3 linked regions of the Arabidopsis thaliana genome follow. The protein of the gene in region 1 interacts with the protein of each later gene in a pairwise test. Each region holds a gene or a part of one and is shown on either strand. Other genes may lie near its edges. The genes, in order: AT3G59470, LOL2 and CRC.

Region 1 (3,758 bases):
GGTGAGTGGTTTAGTCAAATCCACAAGACTTTTAATTAATACAAATTCAAATTTATCCATTTAAAGATTGATCAGATAAGATATCTAAACTGTGTTTGGTAACTTATTTTTTAATCGTAATATTCTATTGGTTGTTTACATATATGTTATGATTTGGTGAGATTTAGAGTAAATAGTGATTAATGTTTTTGACCAGATTTTATGCTTCTTCAATGGGACCTAGACGACGTATTTCACAAGGTTAATTTATTAGGGGCTTATCCGTTGTTAAGATAGTACTATTAAGGGGAGTAAAAGATACTATTAATCCTCCTCTTTTGACTCCGAATATTTTGTTTGTTTTGGATAACTTTCTTTTTCAATAAAATACCATTCATGGATAATTTTTTAGGCAAATCTACCAAAATCGAAATGTATTAATGAATGATTTGTTATAATTTAATTTCGCAAGGTTAATTACGAGGGGCTTATATCCGTTGTTGGATAAATATGTTAATATCCTCCTCTAATTTCGATTATCTCATTTGTTAGGATAACTTTTATTTCCGATTACACAAGATATTATCTCATGTAAATCTACTAAATCGAGAAATGCAAATCTGTTACAAATTTTATAAACGGGGCTAGCTTTGACATGTATGATCTTTTTATTTATCAGAGACTATCTACCAAGTACCAACACTATTTGGTTTCCTATTTCCCAAGTTATATTTTATGCATCAGTTATCACTACTAACTAACGACTATCCTTCTTCTTAGACGTTTTATTCCACGTAATTAAAGCGATTTATTGATTTCCAAAAAAAAAAAAAAAAGTGAAGAGAATTTTTAATAAATGCTAAATAAAATGGATATTTTAAAACGCAACGAAAGAAAACCATATGTTACAGATCTTTTTTTTTGGATTACTGATTCATATATATGTGGATGATTTATAATGTCTATAAAAATCTAGAGTTGCGAATTATCTAGGCATGACCAAAATCTAACTGTAACTGTATTTCGGACCGTAATCGGACCGTTTATTAACCGTAACCCAACCGTAACCGTATAAAACGGTTAATAACCGTAACTGTTAACCGTGAAAATAGATTCATTACGGTTAAAAAAATATAATAACCGTAACCGTATCAAAACCGTTGGTTAACCGTACGTTTAACCGCGCGGTTAACCGTATTATTAAAACCTTAAAAATATAGTTGTAACTGTGTATAATTCTAAATAAATAATTATTTTACTAAAATAGTAACTTAAATCGTTTAATATGCCCACTAATACGATCGAAGTTACTCCACTACTCTTTTTACCATAAATCAAATCATAAGTAGTTCATATTATTATTATTTATACTCTAAAAACTGTTTCTTAGTGCTCATAACATCTTTTCTTTATTATTGTTTTTGTTTGAAAAATATAATTAATTAAATCATTATAATTATAACCATTAATTTGTATATTCATTGGTTTATTTAAAAAAAATAGATAGCTGATTCGCTATAAATATTTGAAACACATAATCACGTAAAATAATTATTATTTGATATATCACTATTTATTTATTTATTTTATTATAAAGATTAATATAATATTTTGTCTCATATATTAATTATATCATAATTATCAAATAACCGTAACCGTATCTAACCATAACCGTATTTAACCGTAACCGTTTTAACCGTATATATAACGGTTAATGTTAAGGTTAAAAAAAGTTATAATCATATACGGTGGTTAATAAACCGTAACCGTAATAACCGTAACCGTGGTCATGCCTAAAACTATCTGGATAGGTTTCGATGATAACAGTGATATAAGCTAAATCATGAAATATAAGTAACTGAATATATTACTATGTAATAAGTTTTTTGCTATTCAAAATTTCTATGATTAAAAAAACTTAGCTAATGTAGTTTGGTAGTCAAATCGTATACTAAACCATCATTAGCTGGTTATCAATAGCATTTTAAAGAAAGTTAATTAAACCGGCTGAATTGGCCTGGTTGACACGAACAAAATGAATGCTAGAAATTAGAGAAATTTTGTTAGTACAAGGATGATTATGTAAATGAAGGATAATAAAGGGGTCAATTTTAACATTTATTAAAAGTCATGGACACACCGGTCTAACGGGTGCGTCGGTCGGCGAGAATTACGCTGTAAAAAATAAAATAAAATAAACATGTAATGAAAGAAAAAAAAAGAACATGAGGAATAATCATACGAGGCGAAGCGCACCGGAGGAACCATAAGTCGATAAACCCAAAGCTTAGATGAACGGTGAGTTGACTTCTTTCCGATTTTGACCCAATCATCTATCGCCACGTCATAGGGTACTGCGTCCTCTGCAATCCATACCCTGAACCGGCACCTTCTCTGTCTCTCCCCCAAATCGAAAACCTAATTCGATCGTCGTCTCCGACCTACATCTGCCGGAAAATATCTTTTGACCAGTAAGATTGTTTTATTCCTTACACCATTATTTCGGGTTTTTAATTTTCGATTTTGGATTGATCGATTAAGCCACTTAGACTAGTCCCTGCGAAAGAATGAGACTGAGAAGTTGGACATCTCGATACTTTTGGAAACCCCGATTTGTTGATGACTCTTGAATCTATGGGACGGTGAATCCCAAAGAATGGTTCCATTTTAAGTTTGTTTTGTATTGTTGGTGGAGGCTGGATGATTTTGAGAGCACTTGTACTTGAGCTTTGTTCTCATATCTTGAATTAGACAGTGGAATAGAAAAGATGACAACTTTGTATTAGTAAGATGATGAACACTTGTAGCTCTTCTTGCTAGATATTTGATTAGTGGAATTGCTGTTTTCCCTTTTTTTGAGTTGCAGTGGATTTCAGGATTGATAATGGAGTAGCTGCTGGGATGATGATGGGGATTCCTGTTGAGCTTGAGGTTACCACGGTTGAGAATCATAATGAAATGGGTGAAAGCTCTGGTCAAGCAATGATTGAGCAAGATGATGACAACCATAATGAACTCGGTGAAAATTCTGGTGAGCAAGATGAGAAGGTGGATCTTGATTCTATTCCTCTGGCTGTTGCAGATATGACAGAGGCTCAAGGAGATGAGCCTTACGTTGGCCAGGAGTTCGAATCTGAAGCAGCGGCTCATGGTTTTTATAATGCGTATGCTACTAAAGTAGGGTTCGTCATCCGTGTTAGTAAACTGTCACGGTCAAGGCATGATGGATCTCCCATAGGCAGGCAACTTGTTTGTAACAAGGAAGGTTACAGGTTGCCTAGCAAGCGGGATAAGGTTATTAGACAAAGAGCGGAAACAAGGGTTGGATGTAAAGCAATGATCTTGATTAGAAAAGAGAACTCTGGTAAATGGGTTATCACAAAGTTTGTCAAGGAGCACAATCACTCTTTGATGCCTGGCAGAGTTCGAAGGGGTTGCATTTATGATCAATATCCGGTTAGTTGTTACTCTCTTTCGTTGGTCAATATTTCTTTATATTCAGCCATTGCATTTGAAAATCCAAATTGGCGTTTCTTGGTTAGCTGGTTAATATATATATATATGCTGATGTGATACTGGTTCGTGACTAGTTGCTATATAGCATATTCATATTCATGTGCTGGTGTTTTGATTTTGCTTATATATCAGTTGTTACTAGAAAAGACTTAAATTCTAAAACTTTGCTCTCCTCATTTGCAGAACGAACACGACAAAATTCAGGAACTGATGCAGCAGCTAGCAGCAGAGAAAAAGAGAGCGGCTACTTACAAAAGACATCT
Region 2 (3,758 bases), on another chromosome or scaffold:
CTTTAGGAGGTATACTTACTCTATGAAACCAGATCGTGGCTTTTTGTTTTCTTTAATCATGGACATGACTTGATCTTCTGCTTTCTCTGCAGATGAGTATTTCCTTTCTCGGTTACCCGTTGTAGAGAAGAGACTTGCACAAGGTGGGATTCGCTTGGCAGCTACTCTTAATCGTATCTTTTCTGCAAAACCGAAGCTCGCAGGATTATGAATCTAAGAAAAAGATCCTTGAGAACCCACGTAACAACTCCTTTTAAGTGTTTTTTATAACACTGTGAATGGTTGAGTCATGACTAATGAGTGAACCTCCAAAATCTTCATGCAAAAATTTGTTATTTTGGGACATGGTTCAAACTTCCAATAACAAACCACACTAACGGATAACACTTTGCATTTTTTTTGTTTGTTTTCAGTTTTGTTAATTAGTATCCTTCTTCTTATCTTATGAAAAAGGTAAGTTAACATAAAGGAGTAAAATAGAAAAAGAAGTTAGATTTCCTCATTAGATTAGGAATGATAATTCGCTATATAAAGATTTCAAGTGAGACATAAAAAGCCTAAGCGCAAAACACACAAAAAAGAGTTTCTTACGTGAAAAGCTACTTAAACCCTAAAAGAGAGAGAGAAAAAAAAAGCAAAGCCGACACAGCTAGCGCTCTCGGGTGCACTTCCACAGCAATGAACGGAGAAGAGCCACCTTTTAAAAGAAGACGGATGAATTTTCTTATGCTTCCTGATGATTTGGTTTTAAACTGTTTAATTTGGCCCGCATCTCAAGATAGTACTATCCAACTCTCTCTTTAGTATCCAAGAGATTCCGCTCTATCCTTACTTCAACGGAGCTTTACCAGACCCAAACTCTCTTAGGCCGCACCGAGAGTTGTTTGTACGTGTGCTTAACGCAGATTACATATGACGCTTCTAACCCACAATTAATTTGGTTCACTCTTTGCCGCAAACCAAATAGCTCAAAAAAGATTTTAATCCCAATTTCATATCCTAAATCTGCATCATGGTCGGATAGTGTAGTGGCTGTTGGTCCTAATATCTACGCTATTGGGGGATTCAGTAATAATAGAACTAAACCTTCGTCTAGCGTCATGGTCATGGATTGTCGTACTCACACATGGTGTGAGGCCCCTAGCATGCAGGTTTCCCGTGTGTTCCAATCTACTTGCGTCCTTGATGGGAAAATATATGTAACAGGAGGCCGCGGAACTCTCGATTCAACGAAATGGATGGAGGTTTTTGATACGAAAACCCAAACTTGGGAGTTTTTGCAATTCCCGAGTGAGGAGAAGATATGCACAGGCTATAAGTGTGAGAGCATAGTGTATGAAGGAACTGTCTATGTAAGGTCGTATTTTCATAATGTGACTTACAAGCTGCATAAAGGTAGATGGATAGCGGCAGACTTAGCGATGAATAATGGATGGCGTTGCTCATCATTTTTTTGTGTGATAAAGAACGTGTTCTACTGTTGCAATAGAAGTGGTAACGGTATGATCGATTGGTATGACTCGGAAAAAGGATCATGGACAACTATGAAGGGGTTGGAAAGATTGCCTAAAGTTTATGGTAATGTTAAATTGGCATATTATGGTGGAAAAATGGTGGTGGTGTACGTGGAGTGCTAAGGAGTGGGGTAACGTGAGAAAAATTTGGTGTGCGGAAATTACGATTGAAAAACGCAAGGATGGAGAGATTTGGGGGATACTAGAATGGTTTGACGATGTATATAAAGCCAAGGATGAGCTAGAATATTTAGCTGTAGTGCATGCTGTTGTTACTACCATCTGATTGATAAGAGAGTCATGTGAACATTGTTCATTGATTCACCGATGCAATAACGAATTTATCTACTATCATTTGTTTTGATTTTCTTTCTAAATCTTTTTTGTTTGTTCTTGTATTGAATTTTACCTTACATTTATTAAGAAAGTCAACTATTTGTCAACGTTACTGGAAAGTTAAAAAGGTAAAAGTAATAATAATCTGAGAGTTAACTTTGGACATCTTCGCCGGAGCCGAGACGGAAGGCGTGATGGAAGAGATACAACAACAAACGCAGAAGGAAGAACAAAAGCACCGTGAAGAAGAAGAGGAGGAAGAGGAAGGTCCGCCTCCGGGATGGGAATCTGCAGTTCTTCCTCCTCCAATCGTCACCATCACCGCCGCCGTAAACCCCAATCCCACCACCGTAGAAATTCCCGGTATTCTTGTAGTCTTGTCTATTTTAGGGTTTATCGATTTGCTTCCATTTCTTGCTACAGTCTGATCAAATTAGAGATTTTTAGTGGAGTTTGTAGACTTTTAGAGATAACCCATTTTCGATTCCGAGAATTGATTAGTGTTTTTTTTCTGCAAATCTTCTTTGTTTTTGGGGTTGTTGCAGAAAAGGCCCAAATGGTATGTGGATCTTGCAGGCGTTTGCTTTCTTATCTAAGAGGATCCAAACATGTTAAGTGCTCCTCTTGTCAGACTGTTAATCTCGTTCTTGAAGGTTCGTTCTTCCATGGCTTTTTTATCTCTTATTCATTACTTGAAAAGCTTTTGTTGATAATCTCAGTCACTTGAAACTCTTAATGGAACAATCTTGGAATGCTCTCTCAGTCTAGTTTTACTTAGCATGTGTGAATGATATATCTATGTTCTTTTGAGAATCTCAAAATGTAAGCTTCCTGAGACCAAATGAGTTTAGTTCTTAACTGACACAAGAATGATCTTTGGTTAGGATTCTTCTCTTAAGCTTTTGTGAGCCTTTTGGTCTCTACTCCATCATAATGTCTCCTTTGTAGACCATTTATGTGGTCTTTATCCTTTACTCTTACTACTCTTGGGGAAATTGTGTGATCTTAAGACCAAGATTGTTCTTCTTAGCTTGTGAATCACTTGGCCTCATTATTGATGAAATAGCCTTCTTCTCTTATCGGTTCTGGACTTGTCGTTCTTTGTTTGCAGCTAACCAGGTTGGTCAGGTGAATTGCAACAATTGCAAACTGCTACTGATGTATCCTTATGGAGCTCCAGCTGTTAGATGTTCCTCCTGCAATTCTGTCACAGATATCAGTGTATGTATTCACAGATGGTTTTGTGCTCCATGTCCAAATCATACTTGGAAGAGTTGATACATTTTGAGATCCGAGTAAGTAATCATCTGATGAATCATTTATAATAAACTGTGTTATATTTCAGGAAAACAACAAACGACCTCCATGGTCTGAGCAGCAAGGACCACTCAAAAGTTTAAGCAGTCTCAGGAGAGCAGAGAATTAAACTTGAACCGATTTTTGTCAATTTTGAACCGGTTTGACGACTAAAAACCTTGTAATAATGTCGAAGGATAGATGAAATAAAATCACCATTAATAATCTCATTGAATTCCCATTCTTTCAGATATTACTTGCTCATCATCCTTTACTGTTTTAAGCTTTAGTGGTTAAAAAGAATGTGTATATATCCATACAAAAGTTGATATATGTACTGGACCAATATAAACAAACACAGCTCACAGTCTCACACAATACATAAAAACAAAATTCATATTTCACAGGTGAGAAAAACTAACTAGTAGTCTACTTGGCCGAATTTGTCAATGAATTTCAATAATTAGGTCGTATAAATAGCAAACAAAACATGGACTCTTACCCAACCAAATATGCATAAATAATTTACATTACAGTTTCATATAAAATACAAACTAATGGTGGGTCCTCGAGAGAGCTAACAAGAGCTGTGTGTGGGTGAAGAACCAACTT
Region 3 (3,758 bases), on another chromosome or scaffold:
AGCAAACTTCAATGTATGTATATATTGGTTCTAACATTGAGAGGAAAACTCTAATCAAATAAAATTGTAAGTAAGCTAAATATGTGTGTCGAAGTAGGAAATCTAAGGAAAGTGAAGAATGCAAAAAAGTTAGTCACTGAAAGAGACGTGTGATTGATCACTTGTCTCCTTCCAATTTCCCTGTGGGGGCAGTGCATGCACAAAAGATGGAATCCATCCTATAGCTCCTCCTTTCTTCACTATCTTTTCAAGTTTCTCTTTTTGAATATATTTTTTTTAAATTGATTTTGATTTAACTCAAAGCCCACACTTCTTAATCCATCTTCTCTATAATTAGTATGCCAACAAATATATATGCTTGTTCTGTCTCAAATTTCAACAATAAAGCGTGTATAGCTCCCAAAAAGCTATGTTGATGAGTTATCACTCTTTTTATGGATTGGACTAATAGTTTGTCTCATGTCAAAATGATTATACATAACTCAGAATCCAGCAGTATAGAGAACTTAACTTTTATATATATGTTAACCCTCATAACCTCAAACAGAAAATTTGTAGTGCAGTGTAGAAAACATCCTTAAACATAAAGTAAATCCTTTAACAAAAAAAATAAATATAAGTGGCAAATCAAGAGATTCTGCTTTTGAGTCCAATGTATGTATAGTTGGATGTTCTGAAGAAGATCCATTGTTTTGGTTGTTTCTCTACAGTTAAACGATTTTTATATTTAACTTATTAATGCAATTGAGTGAAAATTTCACGATGAAGAAAAAAGTTGTGAATCATGACAAGTTTTGTCCTCAGTTTTGCAGTGAAATCATTTTGCGTGAAAATTTTATGAGAGAAACAAAAAAAAAAAAAACTGATCAAAAGATCAGGAAAGGACCATTCTTAATTTATAACATGTGGGCAAGTCAAGGCTTGCTGGCATCAAACTTGAATAAATGTAATCATATTCACACCATGTATTGTTTAATATATAATTTTAATATCTTAATTGGTCATCTATTTTTGTCTTTTTGCATCGCATATGTGTCATAATTAATATCTGTACGATGTAGAGGCTAGTGAATATAAAGTGAAAACATAGATATATCGATCTTAAACCAATGGTATCTTACACCATATGTATATGCTTGTTTGAAAATATTTATTCTACGAAAGTATTAATTGGATTGATTGTTTTCACTCTCTTGAGTAATTTTGGATAAGTTAATAGTTATTATTTTTATTACACATGATTAAGGTGTATTGTTAATTATAAATCATATTTATACGAAGACATGGTTGAATAATGTCCAACACAGCTTATTTTAGCAAAAACTAATGTACGAGGAGTGACATTTAGGGTCTTGATATTTTTGAAGCAAAATTAAATACGTCTGCAAGATTTTGCAGAGGGAGGCATGTACTATATCATCTGCAATAGTAGCAACATAGATAAAAGTCATAAACCCCTAGATCCGGTCCCTTTAATTTAATTCATATATATGATTTGACATAAAATTACTTTTGTTAAAAAGTTTGTTTTTACATTAAATTCTTCTATCTTTTTTCTAAATATCAGTTTAATATACATTTGTAATTTTTCTTGCAATCCCTAGCCAGCTTAATGATATCATTTTTTTTCCTTCTTTATATCCAGAGAAATTTTATGCGGAAACGTAGATTAATATCATCGAACTTGTTGATCCAATTTGTTTTATCTTTTAAAACATTTACAGTGATTACAAAATAGAATATATAGCAAGTAAATATCCAACGAAAACACATAATGTCTTTAACAAAAAAAAAGAACGAAAAAAAAAAGAAAACACATAATGTCACCATTAGAAACTCGTGTCTACACCAGAAGTCATTAGTTTAAGATATTCATTTTTTTTTTTTTTGATAAGATGATATTAAATGTTGTTAAAATAAACAATAAAAATGCAATTATGGACTGCATATACACGTCCAACACTTTGACAATCTGTATCGCTCTCTCTCTCTCTCTATATATATATATGTCATGGTCTCACTATGATTGTTCTATAAATACAAGCCTCCTAACTCATAAAATAAGCATAACCCTAACTCTACAAAGTTCTTCTGATTCTTTCTCTCTCTCTCTTTCTTTCAAGAGCGGTTTTCAATCCATTCGCTAAAGACCATGAACCTAGAAGAGAAACCAACCATGACGGCTTCAAGGGCTTCCCCTCAAGCCGAACATCTCTACTACGTCCGGTGTAGCATCTGCAACACCATCCTCGCGGTAAATTATTACCTACATATAAGAAGATATATAAGCATATATATACTTGCATGACCCTATATATGTTGATAATATCACATACATGCTAAGCTATACATATTGTTGTTTATGTTATATATATATATATTTCTTCAAATTTTCGAGCTAATTTGTAAACCGAATCTACACACATATATAGGTTGGGATACCATTGAAGAGAATGCTTGACACGGTAACGGTGAAATGCGGCCATTGTGGTAACCTCTCGTTTCTCACCACAACTCCTCCTCTTCAAGGCCATGTTAGCCTCACCCTTCAGGTATATAACACTTGTGTTATAGTTATACATACGAGTATAATTCTTTTTATACAAAAAACTGATACTAAGCCAATCTTTGTTTTAACTAAGCAGATGCAGAGCTTTGGTGGAAGTGACTATAAGAAGGGAAGCTCTTCTTCTTCCTCTTCCTCCACCTCCAGCGACCAGCCCCCATCTCCCTCACCTCCCTTTGTCGTCAAACGTAATTAAGCTTATTACCATTTCTGACTCCTTTTTCTTCTATAAACTTAATCACTATCTACATATATATGATTATCTGTTGAACATCTTTGGTATTGTAGCTCCTGAGAAGAAGCAGAGGCTCCCATCTGCATACAACCGCTTCATGAGGTTTAACCTTTGACATATACTCTTTAGTTCCAAGTTAATTATGAAATTTAATGCATAAAAAATAAATATAATTTAGTACTCTTCTTCATCTTTTTTTGAAACAAAATATAAAAAGGGATGAGATCCAACGCATCAAAAGTGCCAATCCGGAAATACCACACCGTGAAGCTTTCAGTGCTGCTGCCAAAAATGTAAGACAAGTCTCTTTTTGTTACCAACCATTGTTGTCACCTTTAATATTATTTTTTCACAATTTCGTTTGTGTAAATGAAAAATGTCACAAACAGTGGGCTAAGTACATACCCAACTCTCCTACTTCCATTACTTCCGGAGGCCACAACATGATCCATGTAAGCTATACAAACTAAGTCTGCATAAGGACATATTTATATACATTATATAAAGATTTAAAATGTTTTGTTCAATTAGGGCTTGGGATTCGGTGAGAAGAAGTGAACAAAACTCAGGGGAAAAGAAGCCTAAAAATAACAAACGCATGCACGTGTGCGAGTGGCTGCGTCGTTTTTCTCATCTTGTGTTGTTCTTCTGTGTAATTTTCTTATGTATGTCATGTTGCAGAAAATGATGTTGCCTTAGTTTTTATGACTTTATATTTCTGTCTGTCTTTAGATTTGAAAGTAACGTCACTTGCTATGTCCCTTTGGACGTTTATGTCTGGTCTTTATTTGTCTTAATCCTATCAAAATTTTATATGCGTATTCCTTAATTCCATCTGGGACACTTTTTCTTTTCCCCAATGATTTGCAACTTTCAACATCGTAACTTCGAACTCGAGAATCTCAGATCAGTCCTCAGATGACGTGAGTGTACAGAACAAAACAAAACAAAAGTAAA

What was found.
Region 2: the proteins of AT3G59470 (region 1) and LOL2 interact in a two-hybrid assay, tested with the Arabidopsis thaliana proteins (one large-scale study listed by BioGRID).
Region 3: the proteins of AT3G59470 (region 1) and CRC interact in a two-hybrid assay, tested with the Arabidopsis thaliana proteins (one large-scale study listed by BioGRID).

The regions. Positions count from the first base shown.
Region 1 is NC_003074.8:21,979,220-21,982,977, reverse strand, and holds the start of AT3G59470 (Far-red impaired responsive (FAR1) family protein), read left to right. Parts: upstream 1-2,138; 5' UTR 2,139-2,449; coding exon 2,450-2,450; exon of another isoform or gene 2,451-2,845; coding exon 2,846-3,435; intron 3,436-3,678; coding exon 3,679-3,758.
Region 2 is NC_003075.7:11,487,025-11,490,782, forward strand, and holds LOL2 (lsd one like 2), read left to right. Parts: upstream 1-1,951; 5' UTR 1,952-2,044; coding exon 2,045-2,213; intron 2,214-2,395; coding exon 2,396-2,503; intron 2,504-2,961; coding exon 2,962-3,071; coding exon of another isoform or gene 3,072-3,128; exon of another isoform or gene 3,129-3,195; coding exon 3,196-3,276; 3' UTR 3,277-3,399; downstream 3,400-3,758. Other genes in the region: ENDO5 (endonuclease 5), read left to right, coding at 1-9, 93-211. UniProt on the Arabidopsis thaliana protein: Putative zinc finger that may be involved in programmed cell death and defense response.
Region 3 is NC_003070.9:26,007,335-26,011,092, reverse strand, and holds CRC (Plant-specific transcription factor YABBY family protein), read left to right. Parts: upstream 1-1,951; 5' UTR 1,952-2,152; coding exon 2,153-2,254; intron 2,255-2,432; coding exon 2,433-2,552; intron 2,553-2,645; coding exon 2,646-2,754; intron 2,755-2,854; coding exon 2,855-2,903; intron 2,904-3,018; coding exon 3,019-3,094; intron 3,095-3,190; coding exon 3,191-3,253; intron 3,254-3,332; coding exon 3,333-3,359; 3' UTR 3,360-3,743; downstream 3,744-3,758. UniProt on the Arabidopsis thaliana protein: Transcription factor required for the initiation of nectary development. Also involved in suppressing early radial growth of the gynoecium, in promoting its later elongation and in fusion of its carpels by regulating both cell division and expansion.